3 linked regions of the Zea mays genome follow. The protein of the gene in region 2 interacts with the protein of the main gene of each other region in a pairwise test. Links are inferred from orthologs where the notes say so. Each region holds a gene or a part of one and is shown on either strand. Other genes may lie near its edges.

Region 1 (4,948 bases), on a different chromosome or scaffold from region 2:
CTACTGCAAATTGGCAAAACTTTCATATTAGTACGTGCTCTTTTGGCCCTATGCATACATCTGCAGAATAATGTGGTTACATATCTGCTTAAGCATGCAGCTTTGAACAATTGTTAGCTAGCTCGTTATTATTTGCAAAGAGATATAGTTAAAGCAGAGCCAGTATATGGACACAAATATCTTTGTGCATATGATCACTGAATGCCTGAGGAAATAAGACATACTGATCCAAGAAAACTTCAGTGAATCCCAAAAAAAAAGAAAAAAAGCACCGGCTGCCAAGAAATGTTTCTTGTAACCAGGTTCCATCTACCATCTACATTTGACACAAAACTTAGGAGCATCTTAGCTCGCTAAAGCTAGACGTCCTGTCATGGCCCTGTCTTGATTGATTGGACTCTTTTCAACTGACGGATCTGCTTCGTGGATCTTGAAACTCGTTAGGCTCTTTTCCAGGATGAGTTGGCGCTGATATTCACATCTGCAGCCTGTTAGTCGAGACCTGAAAAGTCATGAGCCATGTTCTCTATTAGGATACGAATATTTTGTGCCAAATTCAATGATTTGTGTCAAGTTTTGCATTGAGTCAGGTCACACACACACAGAGACTCACCTGCTGAGTGTTTTTCATGTTTCAGCCTCATTTCTTCCTGTACAAATAGCCCTGTTGCCACCACCATCCAAAAACTGATCGCTCTCGGTTTGTGCTGAAGAGGGCACACTAAAATGCTGTCTCTCAGCCTGGAACCATTGTGAAATTTGGATATAAGAGATCCAGGCGAAGATCTTTTCAGCTATTTTTATATACACTATTTGTGAAACGCTACCTGCACGATAGTCTGAGGATCTGATGCTGTTGCTGCTGCTGTTGATGCTCCATTATTCAGGCTCTGATGCTGCTGCTGCTGCTGTTGCTCCTGCACCATGTTAGCCATGGCGGCTGAGGAGGCGTGAGGAGGTGCCAGGTTTGGCCTGACAGGAAGGCCCGCCAAAGATGGGAATGGTGGCTGGATTGGTTGCCCAGGAGGGACTCCGAACACCGGCATCGTGTTTCTGGCAGGCATTCCGATTCCGAGACCCCGTGGTAGTGGCGCGCCTGGGATCATCGGGCAAGGGAAGTGAGCACCGGGCATGTGCGGAAATGGAACCGCCGCCGCCGCCGCCGCCGCGCTGTTCATATCGAGGACACCCATCCCGTAACCCAATCCCATGCCGAGATGAGGGAAGTGAGCAGCAGCCGGAGGAATCTGCAGGTGCTGCATGGCTGGTGGCAGCAGCATGGGAGGAATGCACAGCCCACTTCCCATGGACATCATCTGTGTGATGTGTCAGTGCATCAAAGAGAACCACCATATATCTTGTCAGTGCATCGATCTATATGGAAGAAGAACCATGCTACATTTCGAGTTTTAGTCAGTGTACCTGCACTTGAAGCTGGAGGGTTTTGAGGTACTCGATCGCTTCGTCCAGCATGGAGGCCTTGTCAATCTGCGCGCAATGAGAGAGATGATGAGACGATACATCTGTTTATTGCTACCAGTTCCATCTACCATCTACATTTCATACCTTGTTGCAGTTGGGGATGAGCTCTTGCAGGGCACGCATTTTTTCATTGATCCTGTCCCTTCTCCTCTGCAGGTTTGTTGTTGCATTGCATTGCATGCATTACAGTGCGGTGAGTTCAAGTGCACAGCTCCAGGCTCCAGCTCGAGATCGATCGCATGGCATATTGGCATGGGACTTACCCTTTCGGACAGGTTGTGCACCTCCGCGGTGCGGCTGCGCTTCGCACCTCTGCTGCACGATCTTCTCATCCCACCGGACTCATCGTCAGGATCCTGAAGAGAAGAGAACCAGTGTTAGATACTCCAGTGTCCAAGGTGTGCGATATCTTCACATCCTCTGCTTACATCATCTTGACTCGCGGAACACTCGGCCTGCAGGGTCTTCCTCTTCTGTTGGCGCCAGGACTCGTCGTCCTTTCCTGTCCCAGCACCATTGCCGGAGCAGACCGATGAGGTGGCGGTGGCGCCCGCAGCCTCTGACGCCTTCCTGGTCTCTACTTCTTTCTGCGGAGGAGTCATGTTGTTGTTGCTAGGTCTTTCTTGCTGCAGGTTACCAGCCGTCGGCGTCGGCGGTGGCGCTGCTGCTGCGCATGGAAACCGCACCTCCTTGGGCTGCTGCGACGGCCACGCCGTCCTCTGGTCCACGAACACGGCGGGGGCAGCTGCAGTTCTCGGCCCACTGGCACTGGCCGACTGTAGCACCGTCGACTCCACGCGGGTGCTCGTGGTGGCATTGGACGCCTTGTCGGTGCCTGTCTGTGGCGGCCTCTGCCGCAGGCTGGCACGCGCCATGGCTGCCGGCCTAGAGAAGATGGAGAAGTTCATCAAAGCCTCCCCGCCGCCGCTCTCCTGCCGAGGCTTCCTGGCGGGCGCGAGCTCAGCTTGTGGTTGTGGCTCAGGCCTGCCGGCTGGACCTGGTACTGGTGCGCGGTGGGTTTCCTTTGAGGGCTCTGGTCCTCTGCCGGTGGTGGGATTGGGAACCGGGGTGCTCCGGTTGTCGTTGTCGTCGCCGGTGTGCTGGACTGCTGGTGGTGGTGGTGGTGGTGGTGGCAGAGGGCCGAGGCTCGTCGTCGCCGCCGCCGCATGCAGCTCCGAGAAGAAATCTGGGATGAAGCTATCTGCCAGGGCAGGCGCGGCGGGACTGGCTTCGTCGACGATGGGGATGGGGTAGTGGATCCACGGCACGGTGTCGTCGAGGTCGGCGTTGTCACGGGGGGCGTCTAGGCCGGCGGTGGCCGAGGAGAAGTCGGCAAAGAGACCTCCTCCCGTCTTGAGCAGCGGCGGCACCGGCTGCCTTTGTTGAGCTCTGCTGCTGCAGGTGAAGGTGAAGGGCGGGAAGGCGGCCTGCTGGGGCGGGTGTTTCCTCGTCCGCGCGTGCACCACCGCCTGGCCGTTCTCCCATAGCAGCTCGGCGAAGTCGCTGCTGTCGGACCTGCTAGGCAGCGGTGTTAGCAAGCAAGCAAGCAAGCAAGAACCCGGAGACAAGGTTGAGCTTGAATGAGAAGGAACCGCTCACATGGTGCCGGGGGTCGGAGCTCGCAGCTGGGAGAGGACAGAGGACACACGCTTGGCTTGATGAAGGTGATGGGAGCAGCAGGGCTCCTTGCTCATAAGATACGGTGTCGGTGAGCAAAGCACTGGGAACGGACGTCGTAGATAGGTGCAGTGCAACATGCAACAGGAGACGCTGCTGCTTGGTGTAGACTGTAGAGTGCTACAGGAGGGAAGGTCGTCGGGACGGGAGCTCTCGCGGCGAGCGGGGGCAGGAGGGGCACAGTTGTTGTTGATAAGGTGGGGGACCTGGGCAAGCGCTAGCTGTGACGGAAATGGACAAGCAAGCACGGTGCTCTGTACCGGCCAAGCTAGGTGTGTATCCACTGTGCTGTGCTTGCCACAGTCTCTTCCTTGTACTCTTCTTCCTCTCCTAGCTAGGAGTTGAGTTGGGCATACAGTGGCAATTATTTTTCGTTGCGCAGTTGGCTGATCCCACAACCACAAGCTTGTTACTACTACTGCTCCGTAGTACTAGTACTTGCACAGCGAGATCTAAATGATTGGATGGCTTCTTTCTTCCTTCCCTGCTGCGCACCTTGACAGCCTGCGCAAAGCAACTGCACCCCAACCCCCCAAGTGTGCATGTACTTGCTGGTACAGAAACCGAGCCGTCTATGGGCATGCGAATTAACAATTACTATCAGAACCGACGGCTTTGCCGAGTGTCTGAAACACTCGGCAAAGCCTTAAAAACACTCGTCAAAGGTTTTACCGAGTGTCGCACTCGGCAAAGAGGGCTCGGCACACAGTGCATCGGCAAAGTCTTCTTTGCCGAAAAAATTTTCTCGGGCACTCGACAAAGTGATTTGCCGAGTGCCAGAGAACACTCGGCAAAGAAAAGCAGACGTTACGGCGCCGGGTGACGAAGACGGCGTCTTTGCCGAGTGACTGCCTGACAACACTCGGCAAAGAATCCGCCGGAGGGGTTCCCCATGTCAGGTACTTTGCCGAGTGCTTGGTGTGGCACTCGGCAAAGCGTGCTTCTTTGCCGAGTGCCAGAGCCATTACACTTGGCAAAGAACCTATACCGGTGCCCAGGTCTTGGTTCTTTGCCGAGTGTTATGGTTCTGACACTCGGCAAAGAGGTGCTTTGCCGAGTGTTACACTCGTCAAGACCAGTACACACCTTTTTTATTTGTTTTCCCTATTCCATCCAAACAAACAAAAGATATTTCATAGATATCACATATATACATCACAGACATATATAGCCAACACAAACAGTATTAACACAAATTCTGACATAAGTATTCAACATAAGTTGAGAGGTTCTCAACACAAACAGTATTAACAGAAGTTCAGAAGTATCAACACAAGTTTACACGCTCTGACAAGTATTCAACATAAGTTTTGTGTTCGAAACACTAAATACATAACTCTCATGGAGGTGGGCGGTTGGACTGGTGCTGCGTTAGGTTGTACCCTTCATGAGGGTTGTTGGATGCCGCCCCAGATTGGCCCTGCACAGAGAAGAGATTGCATGTGTTATACCAGATGCATTACCAACATGTAACTACAATTTTGGTACTCACAGAAGTATGGAACATAGCAGGGTCAACTGCAGGGAACAATGGAGGTGGCGGAGCGAAACCCTGTGCAGCGCCTGTTGGAGACTTGTTCTCAAATGCTATGAGTTAAGAACAAGGCAACATAGAAAAATGTTAATTGTTGAAGTCCTTCGTCCTTCGAAGCATTATTCCTCTCAGGATATAATGATTTTCGGACGAAGGTTATGAAGGGTGTACCTTCATAAATACAATGACGAAGGATGAATTATAAGGAATATAAAGAATATCATAGGCAATTACACATTATTATTATTAATTTAT
Region 2 (5,229 bases):
AACAATACCCAAAAATATTACCATTAAAGAATTTATTTTTGGACCAAAGTGCTCATTTTAATTAATTGGGTTTTCAATATAAAAGAAATTCCACAAAAACAATCATAAATCAAATGTGAGAAAACAAAAAATATTTTAAAGGTAAATAAGACCAAACACTTGAAAGAAAAATCAAATACTATATTTACCACTAATAATCTAAATGCATTATTTCTAGTTGATTGTTTTGAGGTGTTAGACCGGGCAATGGCCGCCCTTCGCCGGAGACGTGGTCGGCCGCGCCGCCGAGGCCGGGGCTTGCCGGCGTCATCCCTCCCCCCTCCCCCCACTTGGCGGCGTGGCGGCAACCGCCACGGACCGGTTCGAGGGCCTCTAGGCCCTCCTATTGGAGGAGGAGGTTGAGGCCACCCCATTGGGGCGGTGGCTGGTGAAGATGATGCGTCCGCGCGGGGCATCTACGATGTGAGGGGTTGTCCACGACAGGCAGCGATGGTCCCGGCGACAAACGTCTCTAGCAGGGTTGGGAACGATGATGAACTGCCGCTGCAGTGGGGGGAGGAGGCGATGGTGCCAAGTCAACCTCCATGGGTGTGGTCGCCGACGACTCCGCGTCTCCCATTGGCACCGACGGTGATGGGAGCGCGATGGGGAGGCCGCATTCAACCACCGGCAGCGGCACTATCGCTGTCTATCCGTGGAGCACGAAAAAGTCCACGTTGTGCACTTGAACGCGGCGTGCAATGATGGCGTTCACCGGTTGGATCGCTGCATCTTGGCCAGCGGCGTACGCCTCCAACAGTGCATCATCGACGACATGGAGAACTTCACGCATTCGACGGATGCGAACGAAAACGGTTTGCTCCATGCCTCTCCTGTCGTTTTGGAGGCTGGTGCCTCCGTTCTTGTCAAAACAGCGAGCGTTCTTCTTCTTCTCTCTCTATTCTCGTGAGCACGTGCTAATAATGTGTTGTAATTAGTGAAAACGAGGTTAGTGAGAAAGTGACAACAGTTAGTTCTTTATTACAAAGGTGTTTTGTTTATATACATATGAAGGGGTGTATCACAAAGGGGTGTATCCCTTGGAAAAAATATGTCGCATTCCTTGGATCTTTGATTGGTCACATATACTCCCTCCATTCCAGAAAGGTTGTCGTTTGACTTTTTTTAGACCAAATTTTTACCGGTTTGGCTTATTCAAAATATTTGTGAAAATATAGAAAGTTTTAGTTTATAATTAAAGTAAACGGTATGATACTAAATCATAATGAAAAATAATAATTATAAATTTTTTTGAATAAAACGAGTCAATCAATCTTTATCTCAGAAAAGTCAAATGATATTCTTTCTGGAACAGAGTATAATATTTTGTAACAACGAGAGGAGATTAGCGCGAGGTCGCGCTCCTGACCCCACCTAGCCGGTCTGTGTCTGTCCTTCCACGTAATGACGTAAATAGTAACACTGTCCAGTCCAGGAGCAACCCAAAAGCGTGGGCGTGGCTCCACCTCGTCCTTTTGCCAAAAATCGCAGTACAGGTCTAAAGAAATCTAAAATCGCACAATCGATGGCCGACGAGGATTATAACATTTCAGCGACTAGTTCGCGGACACGTAGCCAAAAGCGAAGCATTTGACGGAGGCGAGTTTTAGATATTTTCACCCGCTCCGTCAGTCAGCTGCTGCTTGCACGAGACGTCGGTACGGGCGGCCGAGATCTCCTGGCCGCCTCGCCCAAGCGCGCTCAGCCGTTCCTTGCTTTTATTTTACTCCCCGGCCGCGGCGCCGTGCGGCTGGCTCTGCATTCTCCCCTCCGGCCCTCCCCTCGTCTTCTCTTCTCTTCTCCCCGCGGAGCGAGCGAGAGAAGCAAGGCCGCTCCGTGCCCCCAACCCCGCTCACTGAGCAAAGCGGAAAAAGCGAGGAAAATATCCTGCTCCAGCGAAGCACCGCAGGCCGCAGCCGCAGCCGCAGCAGAGAAGAGCAGACGCCATCGCCCGCAGCCGCCGCCCCCGGAGAATGGTGCGGGCCGGACCGCGACGGGCGAAGGAGGGCGCCGCGGCCCCCGGCGGCCCCCGCCGCCGCTGATAGTAGTCTACCTGCTGCTAACCAGCCATCTGAAGGCACAGTGGTCGCACGCGAGGGGCCCGGATTGATTGGGTGATAGGCGGCGGGCGCAGATCCACCGACCCCCTCGTCGTGCGCCTGTGTCTCTGGTTCCGGTCCGTGTCCCCTTGGCCGCTTGGTGGAGGCCGGAGGCGTGGTCGGTGCGTTTGGAGTTTGGGTATGGCGGGTGGCGGCGAGGGGGATCGCGTGGGTGTCGGGGGAGCCCAGCAGTTCGTGGACCGGAGCAAGGTGAGGATTCTTCTCTGCGACGGCGACGCCACCAGCTCCCGGGAGGTGCTGCGGCTCCTCTGCAACTGCTCATACCATGGTTAGCCTTAGTCAACCTTTGCACCCCCACGTACTTAGTTTCTCTAACCGTTGGGATTTCCGGATTTAGGACTCTGCTTGCTTCTCACCATGGGCTTAATCATTAGTAGTACTATAGATACTACCAATACGATGGCTTGTAATGATAGGGATCTGTTGGGTGTCATGTGTGCCTTCAGCTTACTGTTGTGCTGCTGTTGTGACGGTAAACTTTCTCTTTCAGTGACCTGCGCCAAGTCTCCGCGGCAGGTGATCAATATCCTCAACTACGAGGGCGGCGAGATCGACATCATCCTGGCTGAGGTCGATCTTCCGGTCTCCAAGTGCTTCAAGATGCTCAAGTACATTGCCCGGAACAAGGACCTGCGTCACATCCCCATCATAAGTAGGCTGCATTCCTATACTCTGCCTGCCTCGTGCCTGTTACTGTGATTGTGCTTGCTGTGACCATCCTCCTGTTCGATGGAACCGTGCAGTGATGTCCAACAGAGACGAGGTGTCTGTTGTTGTCAAGTGCTTGCGGCTTGGCGCCGCCGAGTACCTGGTGAAGCCGCTGCGCACGAATGAGTTGCTGAACCTTTGGACCCATGTGTGGCGGCGGAGACGGATGGTAAAGGGCACTATGCTGACTCACCTTAACCTCTGCGTTTAGAAGCATGCTCTAGGCTGAGATGCTCGTAGGCGTTGATGTACCGCCGTGAATTATTCTTTAAATCGAGTGCTGGTGTTGGCAGCTTGGTTTGCCCGAGAAAAACTTCTTCAATGACAACTTCGAGTTGGTGCTCTCAGAACCTAGCGATGCCAATACCAATAGCACCACCCTCCTCTCAGACGAGACCGACGATAGGCCTAAAGGAAACACGAATCAAGAAACAGGCACCTCAAAGCAACTTGAATACGAGGTAATGAACCAAGCACCCATTTGGAAGATTGTTGCAGTCCAGGTTTTTTTTATGTTTCCAGTTCTGTTCTTTGACGTTGCCACAAAGATCTGCCCTTTTGGCTCTATGTTGTATGTTGATGACATGCTAACAGTATACTTGTTTAAATGCCCTTCCACTTGGCGTGTTTCAGTCTAATCCTTCGGTTGCTGAGCCCGACCAGAGAGAAAAGATGGAGGGTGTTCCAGGCTCTGCCCTAGATGCCAGTAAAAAATGTAAGATGTTTCAGCCGGACCTTTGTTCTGCCCTGGAATATCTGATCTTGTATTGTTAATCACCTTTATTTCTCTATCTGTTTTCTGATCAATTATTTTAATTGCCAGCCTCTCCAAGAAGAGCGTTTTCACGCCCTATAAAAACTAACCTGAGGGTTGCCGAGTCGTCTGCATTTCTAGCATATGTCAAGCCAAGCACCCCAGCCACCAGCTCATTTGACAGCGAATTACAAAGGGGTGGCAGCCGATTAGATTCCTTGGATAACCAGGGTAATTGCTCTAGCGCAACCGATAGAAGTGACACTGGTACTGATGTAAATATTCGGAGTAAAGAAGCTTTTGAGATGCCTGCGCAGTACCCTATGGTATGGTTTTCTTCCTCTAACATGCATATGGAGCGAAGCAGCGAAGGCCATAATGATACTTCAGGAACTCCACCTGCATACCATTTCCCATTTTATTACCCAGGGATGGTAGAGCACAACATGGCACTTTCGTCGGCGCAAGATTTTCAAGCAAACATAAACAATGCTCAAGCACATACACCGCCAGCGATGCTTCCTCAGTACAATGTTTATCCTCAGTGCCATGGTTTACCTGTGATACCATCATTTCAGTTTAATCCTTCTGGCATGAGTACGCACTCAAGTCATTTACCAACGCAAAATGTGTGGTCATCGGCATCGAGCACACCACCAGTGCCTGAGGAAACATGCAGTCGCTCTGAAAGGAGGGCTGCAGCACTTGCCAAGTTCAGGCTGAAGAGGAAAGAGCGCTGCTTTGACAAGAAGGTGAGGTATGTGAACCGGAAGAAACTCGCTGAAACGAGGCCAAGGGTGCGAGGTCAGTTTGTTAGACAGCCAACCAATACGGATGTCATCAGCATTGGAGATGATATATCTGAAGACGAAGATGACGATCCATCGTCCAGGGAGGTAGATATGGTTTCTTCTCCAGAGTAGTAGTGGAGAGGTCCTCCATGTGAAAAAATAGACTGCAGATGGTTACTGCTCATCTTGTTACAACTCAGTAGACCTAGGCAATACACCCTTTTTGCTCACACACAGTATTACATTTTTGTCCCTAAAACATGTGGCTGTTACCCTGGTTGCTTTAATGAAGAAATCATCTTTGATAAAGTGTAGCTGAAGTTTTGCTAGTTATTGTTGCACAGACCAGTCTAATCAATATGATCTTATGGCAGGATAATCTTTTGAGAAAAACAGGGCTATTATTGTACATTCCTCCTATTATTCCTTATTCCATGTGTCTTTTAGATGACCAAGGATCCATTTCTGGAGGAATGGGGAACTACGTTGATTAATACTCATATGTTTATGTTGTGTGTTAACTAGTCAATTTATAGGTATCACCCAAAAATTCAGCGGCAGCTTGGACAGATCAAACAACTTTATATCCTAAACAATGAATTAAACAAGGAAAATTGTTTAACAGCCAAGAGTTAAAAAAACAGTTAAAACGGTAAGAGAACAGACTTAAGGCTCTTTGATATCTGTGGAGTCGTTAGAACTTATGAGGTTTTTGAATGCACTAAAATTAATAGTTAGCTGCTAAATTTAGTTATAGTTATCCAAACAATCAAGCTAATGGTTCAACTATTAGCTACTTTTAGCGAATTATCTAATA
Region 3 (4,921 bases), about 70 Mb from region 2:
AAAAAGGCGGCTAGGGTTTTCACGGAGCGCGGAAAGTGAAGTTCAAAAACCGCCGACCCCCGCCCCCTTTTATAGACAGGGCGTGGCTCTTCGAGAAACCCGCAATTCAACAGGGCGCGGCGCTTCGGGAAACCCGCAATCCAACAGTACGCTGTCAATCAACGGTCATGTCAAAAACCCCCGCGGAACCACTTCGAGCGAGGGCAGCGTCTCCGCCATCTAGCGACGTCTTCGGCACCAGGTGACTTTGTCGAACTGGTCCCTCGGAGGGCAAATGTTGGGGCGAAGGCAAAGACGTCACCCTTCGCTCGAGGCCTTCGCTGCAGTCGCTGGTCTGACAGAGACAAAACGGGCAGGGACACCCTTCGCTCGATTCGGCACCAGACGAAGGCCTGCGACGGCGTCATCCCACAGTGCGTCCTCGTCCAGCTCAGAGGCCCACGTGTGATCCGGCCCATTGTAACGGGCCCTGCGTGGCCGCCGCGTGTTACGGCCCTAATTTGTAAAGGCATCCATGTAATTACAGTCTGTAACCCTGCTTTATGAGAATATTCTGGGGATAACCTAGGTAGCTGAGGGCACATGCGTCCTTAGCACAAGGCGCTGGGCGCTCAGGTACCTATAAATACCCCCGCACAGTGCCCGTGGGAGGCCAGATTAACAGAGTTATTGTCATCTAGCGTGTAACCCTACTAACGTCACTGTTCACCCTTGTTGGCCCCCCTTGCTTGTGAGAGCGAGGTCCAACACCAATAAAAGTTTGTGTTAAATAGTTAAATTTTGTTGACTAAGCTATTGTTCAAAAGGCTATAGTAATATTTTCTTTTAAAAAAAATCTTAGTACGTGTACGTCTCTTATAATCTGGAGAGTAGAGAGCAGGTGGCTTTTACACATTCGCATTAATTTGAAGAAAACCGAAAGAGCAATGTCGTGCACGCGACAGCAGCGTCGCGGAAGAAAAGGAAATGCAATTTCTTTTCTATTGAGAGAGAAAAGGCAATTTCTTTCTTATACCGGTAATTGTAGCCAATACCCTTGTTACATTTTAATTTCCAAAAGGAATATTATTGGTCATGCTGAGGGGCGAAGCTACATACCGAATCGAGGCCAGTAATTATGTATACACACCCTTAAGACATGTTCTGTGTCAAGGAAGAAAAGTACATGCAATTTCTTTTATATAAGAAATGCCACTATTTATATTTCAATTTCCAAAAGGAATACTATGGGACGTGCTGCCAGTCTCCACCGGCTTCTTTCCTGCGAAGCGAAGGAAAACCACGACGCACCGTTGGTTGGGAGATCCAGTGCCTGGTCCACCGGACCCAGCTGACGCACTCCCTCGCCTCCGCGGGCCCACCCTGCCGCCTCCGCGGGAGATATTTTTCGCCACCCCGTCGGGGCAGATTCCGTAAATAACATGCAACCACGCCCCTTTTCTGCCGCTCTTCCCGCGCCTATAAAAATCAGGGGCAGAAATATCTCCCCTACCTGGCAGCAGAATCTGATCTCCATTTTCCTCCCGCACCCAACCCAACCACGGACGCACGCCGAGGAGGGAGAAAGCGGGTGTGGAGGGGCGGGCGGCCGGCCTCGCATGTTTGACGACGCGGGGGCCGTGGCGGTGAAGCGGATGAGGCTGTGGGAGGAGGACGAGGTGGAAGTGGAGGAGGAGGGGATGGAGGTGGACGCGGAGCCGGGATGGCCGTGGGGAACGCCGGCGGCGGGGCTCTCCAGGGCTGCGGCGATCGTCGTGGCGGACGCGGCGGAGCCCGACTTCCCCGTCATATACGTCAACGCCGCATTCGAGTCCGCCACGGGGTACCGCGCCCACGAGGTGCTCGGGCGCAACTGGTCAGTGCTATGCTATGCTATGCTCCTGGCCTCCGCTCTGTTTTCTGCTCTGTTTTTCTCTGCTTGGGGACTGACAGATTTGGGCTGCTGCGGAATGCCGCTTGCTTGACGAAGAGGGAGAGCATGTTGATGATTACCTATGATATATTTTGCTTGATATTTAGGTTGCACTTCTAAAGTTGGCCACATGCACATAGAGAAAGGAATTCTTCAAGAATAATAATACCTAGAATATATGGGTGTACAAAAAGTATTTGTTGGCCATGACTTGCAGGTGGTAGACTCAAAACCTGGTTGTGATTATGTTCTCTGAAACTGGATGTTAATGGAAGAATAGGAAATCATTGGGAATTCCAGTTTACTTCATATCATTATGTTGAATAGAAGCTAGGTGGTCATTGTATCGAGTATGAAGTCGTATTCGCATTTAGCATCAGATCTTCAGTAGTGAATGAAATTGGTAGAAATTCAAATGCTGTGCCGAAGTAGCAGCATGGTAACGGCCAGTTTAGGAACTTGTTTCCTGCTAATGTTGACATAAGGTAGCGAACATCCACATGGAAGCAGAGAGAGGTCATTTATTTTTGTCAGGCTAGTCGATCCAAATAATTCCATACTATAACGTCTTGAGTAGTTATTTTATGATTGCTTGTGCCAACCTTAAATTTGCTAACAGTGCCAAACTTGACAGAGGGCCTATCGGAGCATCTCACAAACTGTGTTCACTCAAACTTGTCTTTCAGCCGATTCCTGCAATTTCGGGATCCACGAGCCCAGAGGCGACATCCCCTTGTTGATCCCATGGTCGTTTCAGAGATCCGGCGATGCCTCAACGAGGGGATTGAATTCCATGGCGAGCTGCTAAATTTCCGGAAGGATGGCGCTCCACTTTACAACAGATTAAGTCTCATTCCAATGCACGGGGATGATGGCTACGTGACACATGTGATTGGAATCCAACTATTCTCCGAGGCAAACATCGATCTCAGCAGCGTGTCGTATCCGGTGTACAAGCAACAGACCAACAACAGGCCCAGCATTCAAGATCTGAACTCAGCTTCCCATGAGCATGCTCCGAAAGTCCAGAGTGCAGACCACTGCGGTATACTTCAGTTGTCAGACGAAGTTCTCGCACACAACATTCTGTCTCGCCTGTCACCTAGAGATGTCGCATCCATTGGATCCGTCTGTACCAGGATGCATGAGCTTACCAAGAATGATCACCTGAGGAAGATGGTCTGCCAGAACGCGTGGGGAAGGGATGCCACTGTCAAGCTTGAGATGAGCACCAAGATGGTAGGATGGGGCCGTCTTGCGAGAGAGCTAACTACTCTTGAGGCCGCCTCGTGGAGGAAGTTCACGGTTGGAGGGCGCGTCGAGCCTTCCCGATGCAACTTCAGTGCCTGTGCTGTTGGTAACCGCTTGGTCCTTTTCGGAGGGGAGGGTGTCAACATGCAGCCTATGGACGACACCTTTGTGCTTAACATGGAGGCTGCAAGGCCGGAATGGCGCCGCGTGAAGGTTTCCGCCTCCCCACCAGGCCGGTGGGGGCACACTCTGTCGTGGCTGAACGGGTCATGGCTGGTGGTATTTGGGGGCTGCGGACAGCAAGGTTTGCTCAATGATGTCTTCGTCCTTGACCTTGACGCTCAGCAGCCAACGTGGAGGGAGGTTGCAAGCGAGGGTCCTCCACTGCCACGGTCCTGGCACAGCTCATGCACCTTGGATGGTTCGAAGCTGGTCGTCTCCGGTGGCTGCACCGAGTCTGGCGTTCTCCTCAGCGACACCTTCCTGCTTGACCTCACCAAGGAGAAGCCTGCGTGGAGGGAAATTCCCACATCTTGGTCACCCCCATCCCGCCTCGGCCACACCATGTCCGTCTACGGTACGACTAAACTGCTCATGTTCGGTGGGCTGGCGAAGAGCGGCTCGCTCCGGCTGCGCTCCAGCGACGCCTACACGATGGACGTCGGCGAAGATAGTCCGCAGTGGAGGCAGCTGGCGACGACCGGATTCCCAAACGTCGGCCCACCGCCGAGGCTCGATCACGTTGCGGTGAGCCTGCCCTGTGGACGGATCATCATATTCGGTGGCTCCATCGCGGGACTCCACTCCCCGGCGCAGCTGTTCCTGGTCGATCCAGCAGAGGAGAAGCCGACGTGGAGGATCCTGAACGTTCCCGGCAAACCCCCCAAGTTCGCCTGGGGGCACAGCACCTGCGTGGTTGGCGGCACTAGGGTCCTCGTCCTCGGAGGCCACACCGGGGAGGAGTGGATACTGAACGAGCTACATGAGCTCTGCCTGGCAAGCAGGCCCGACGACGACGACGATGACCGCTACTGACTAGTTTCGTTGCACATGGTTCATCTGTTTTATATGCTATATGCTATTGTTCGTAACTACTTCCAGTATGTTGTTGGGTAATCGGTATGAGAAAAAATAGTGGAAAATTAATTAAAAAAGTTAGACTAGAAGATTTTAGTGTATTTTGTTTTCATCGGAGAAGTTTCCTTTTATCGGTCTAGATAGATTCTATGGTCTATATATTTGTATATTTTTTGTCTAAAAGATCAAAAAAAACTGAAACAACTGCATTGTAGATTCGCATGGCAAAGTCGCCAGTTCCAATGTCTTGTACTCTTATTTTTAATCATATGTAAAATATAGCGCTGCTTCAGTTTGTAGGTATGGAATTAGCCAATGCTTCAGTTTATTGTATTGATGTCTTCGGCACGTTCGACTCCGGCAGTGGTTTGTGGAAATCGCAGTGCTTTGGATATTATTTATGTGATGTTTGATTCAAAAGCCAATTGCTGACAATATTTGTAGGCAACTCCAAAGGCCCATGGTCTGTCACACCCTCCGTTTGCTTTGTATCAATGTCACTCCCTGCGCTAATGCGTTCGTTGCAAAATATATCATTAACATCTACAATACTCTCCCGTCTCAATTTATAATCCATTTGACTTTTTTATCACAAGTTTGATTGGCTCGTCTTATTAAAAAAATTCATAATTATTATTAATTTTTACTGCGATGTCGTCTATACTATATAGTATACTATAA

Evidence for each region. The genes of interacting proteins can lie anywhere in the genome.
Region 1: the proteins of two-component response regulator-like PRR1 (region 2) and Transcription factor PHYTOCHROME INTERACTING FACTOR-LIKE 15 interact in a two-hybrid assay, tested with the Arabidopsis thaliana proteins (3 studies listed by BioGRID). The link is inferred for Zea mays from reciprocal best matches to the Arabidopsis thaliana genes TOC1 and PIF3.
Region 3: the proteins of two-component response regulator-like PRR1 (region 2) and Adagio-like protein 3-like interact in a two-hybrid assay, tested with the Arabidopsis thaliana proteins (2 studies listed by BioGRID). The link is inferred for Zea mays from reciprocal best matches to the Arabidopsis thaliana genes TOC1 and FKF1.

The regions. Positions count from the first base shown.
Region 1 is NC_050103.1:1,249,518-1,254,465, reverse strand, and holds Transcription factor PHYTOCHROME INTERACTING FACTOR-LIKE 15, read right to left. Parts: upstream 3,390-4,948; 5' UTR 3,240-3,389; coding exon 3,082-3,239; intron 2,998-3,081; coding exon 1,911-2,997; intron 1,839-1,910; coding exon 1,746-1,838; intron 1,633-1,745; coding exon 1,567-1,632; intron 1,489-1,566; coding exon 1,423-1,488; intron 1,317-1,422; coding exon 828-1,316; intron 742-827; coding exon 628-741; 3' UTR 614-627; intron 503-613; 3' UTR 204-502; downstream 1-203.
Region 2 is NC_050099.1:145,826,099-145,831,327, forward strand, and holds two-component response regulator-like PRR1, read left to right. Parts: upstream 1-2,150; 5' UTR 2,151-2,279; coding exon of another isoform or gene 2,280-2,427; intron 2,428-2,649; coding exon of another isoform or gene 2,650-2,759; coding exon 2,760-2,811; intron 2,812-2,902; coding exon 2,903-3,036; intron 3,037-3,160; coding exon 3,161-3,328; intron 3,329-3,500; coding exon 3,501-3,582; intron 3,583-3,690; coding exon 3,691-4,544; 3' UTR 4,545-4,791; downstream 4,792-5,229. UniProt on the Arabidopsis thaliana protein: Controls photoperiodic flowering response. Component of the circadian clock. Expression of several members of the ARR-like family is controlled by circadian rhythm.
Region 3 is NC_050099.1:216,203,118-216,208,038, reverse strand, and holds Adagio-like protein 3-like, read left to right. Parts: upstream 1-1,532; 5' UTR 1,533-1,598; coding exon 1,599-1,855; intron 1,856-2,598; coding exon 2,599-4,198; 3' UTR 4,199-4,542; downstream 4,543-4,921. UniProt on the Arabidopsis thaliana protein: Component of an E3 ubiquitin ligase complex that plays a central role in blue light-dependent circadian cycles.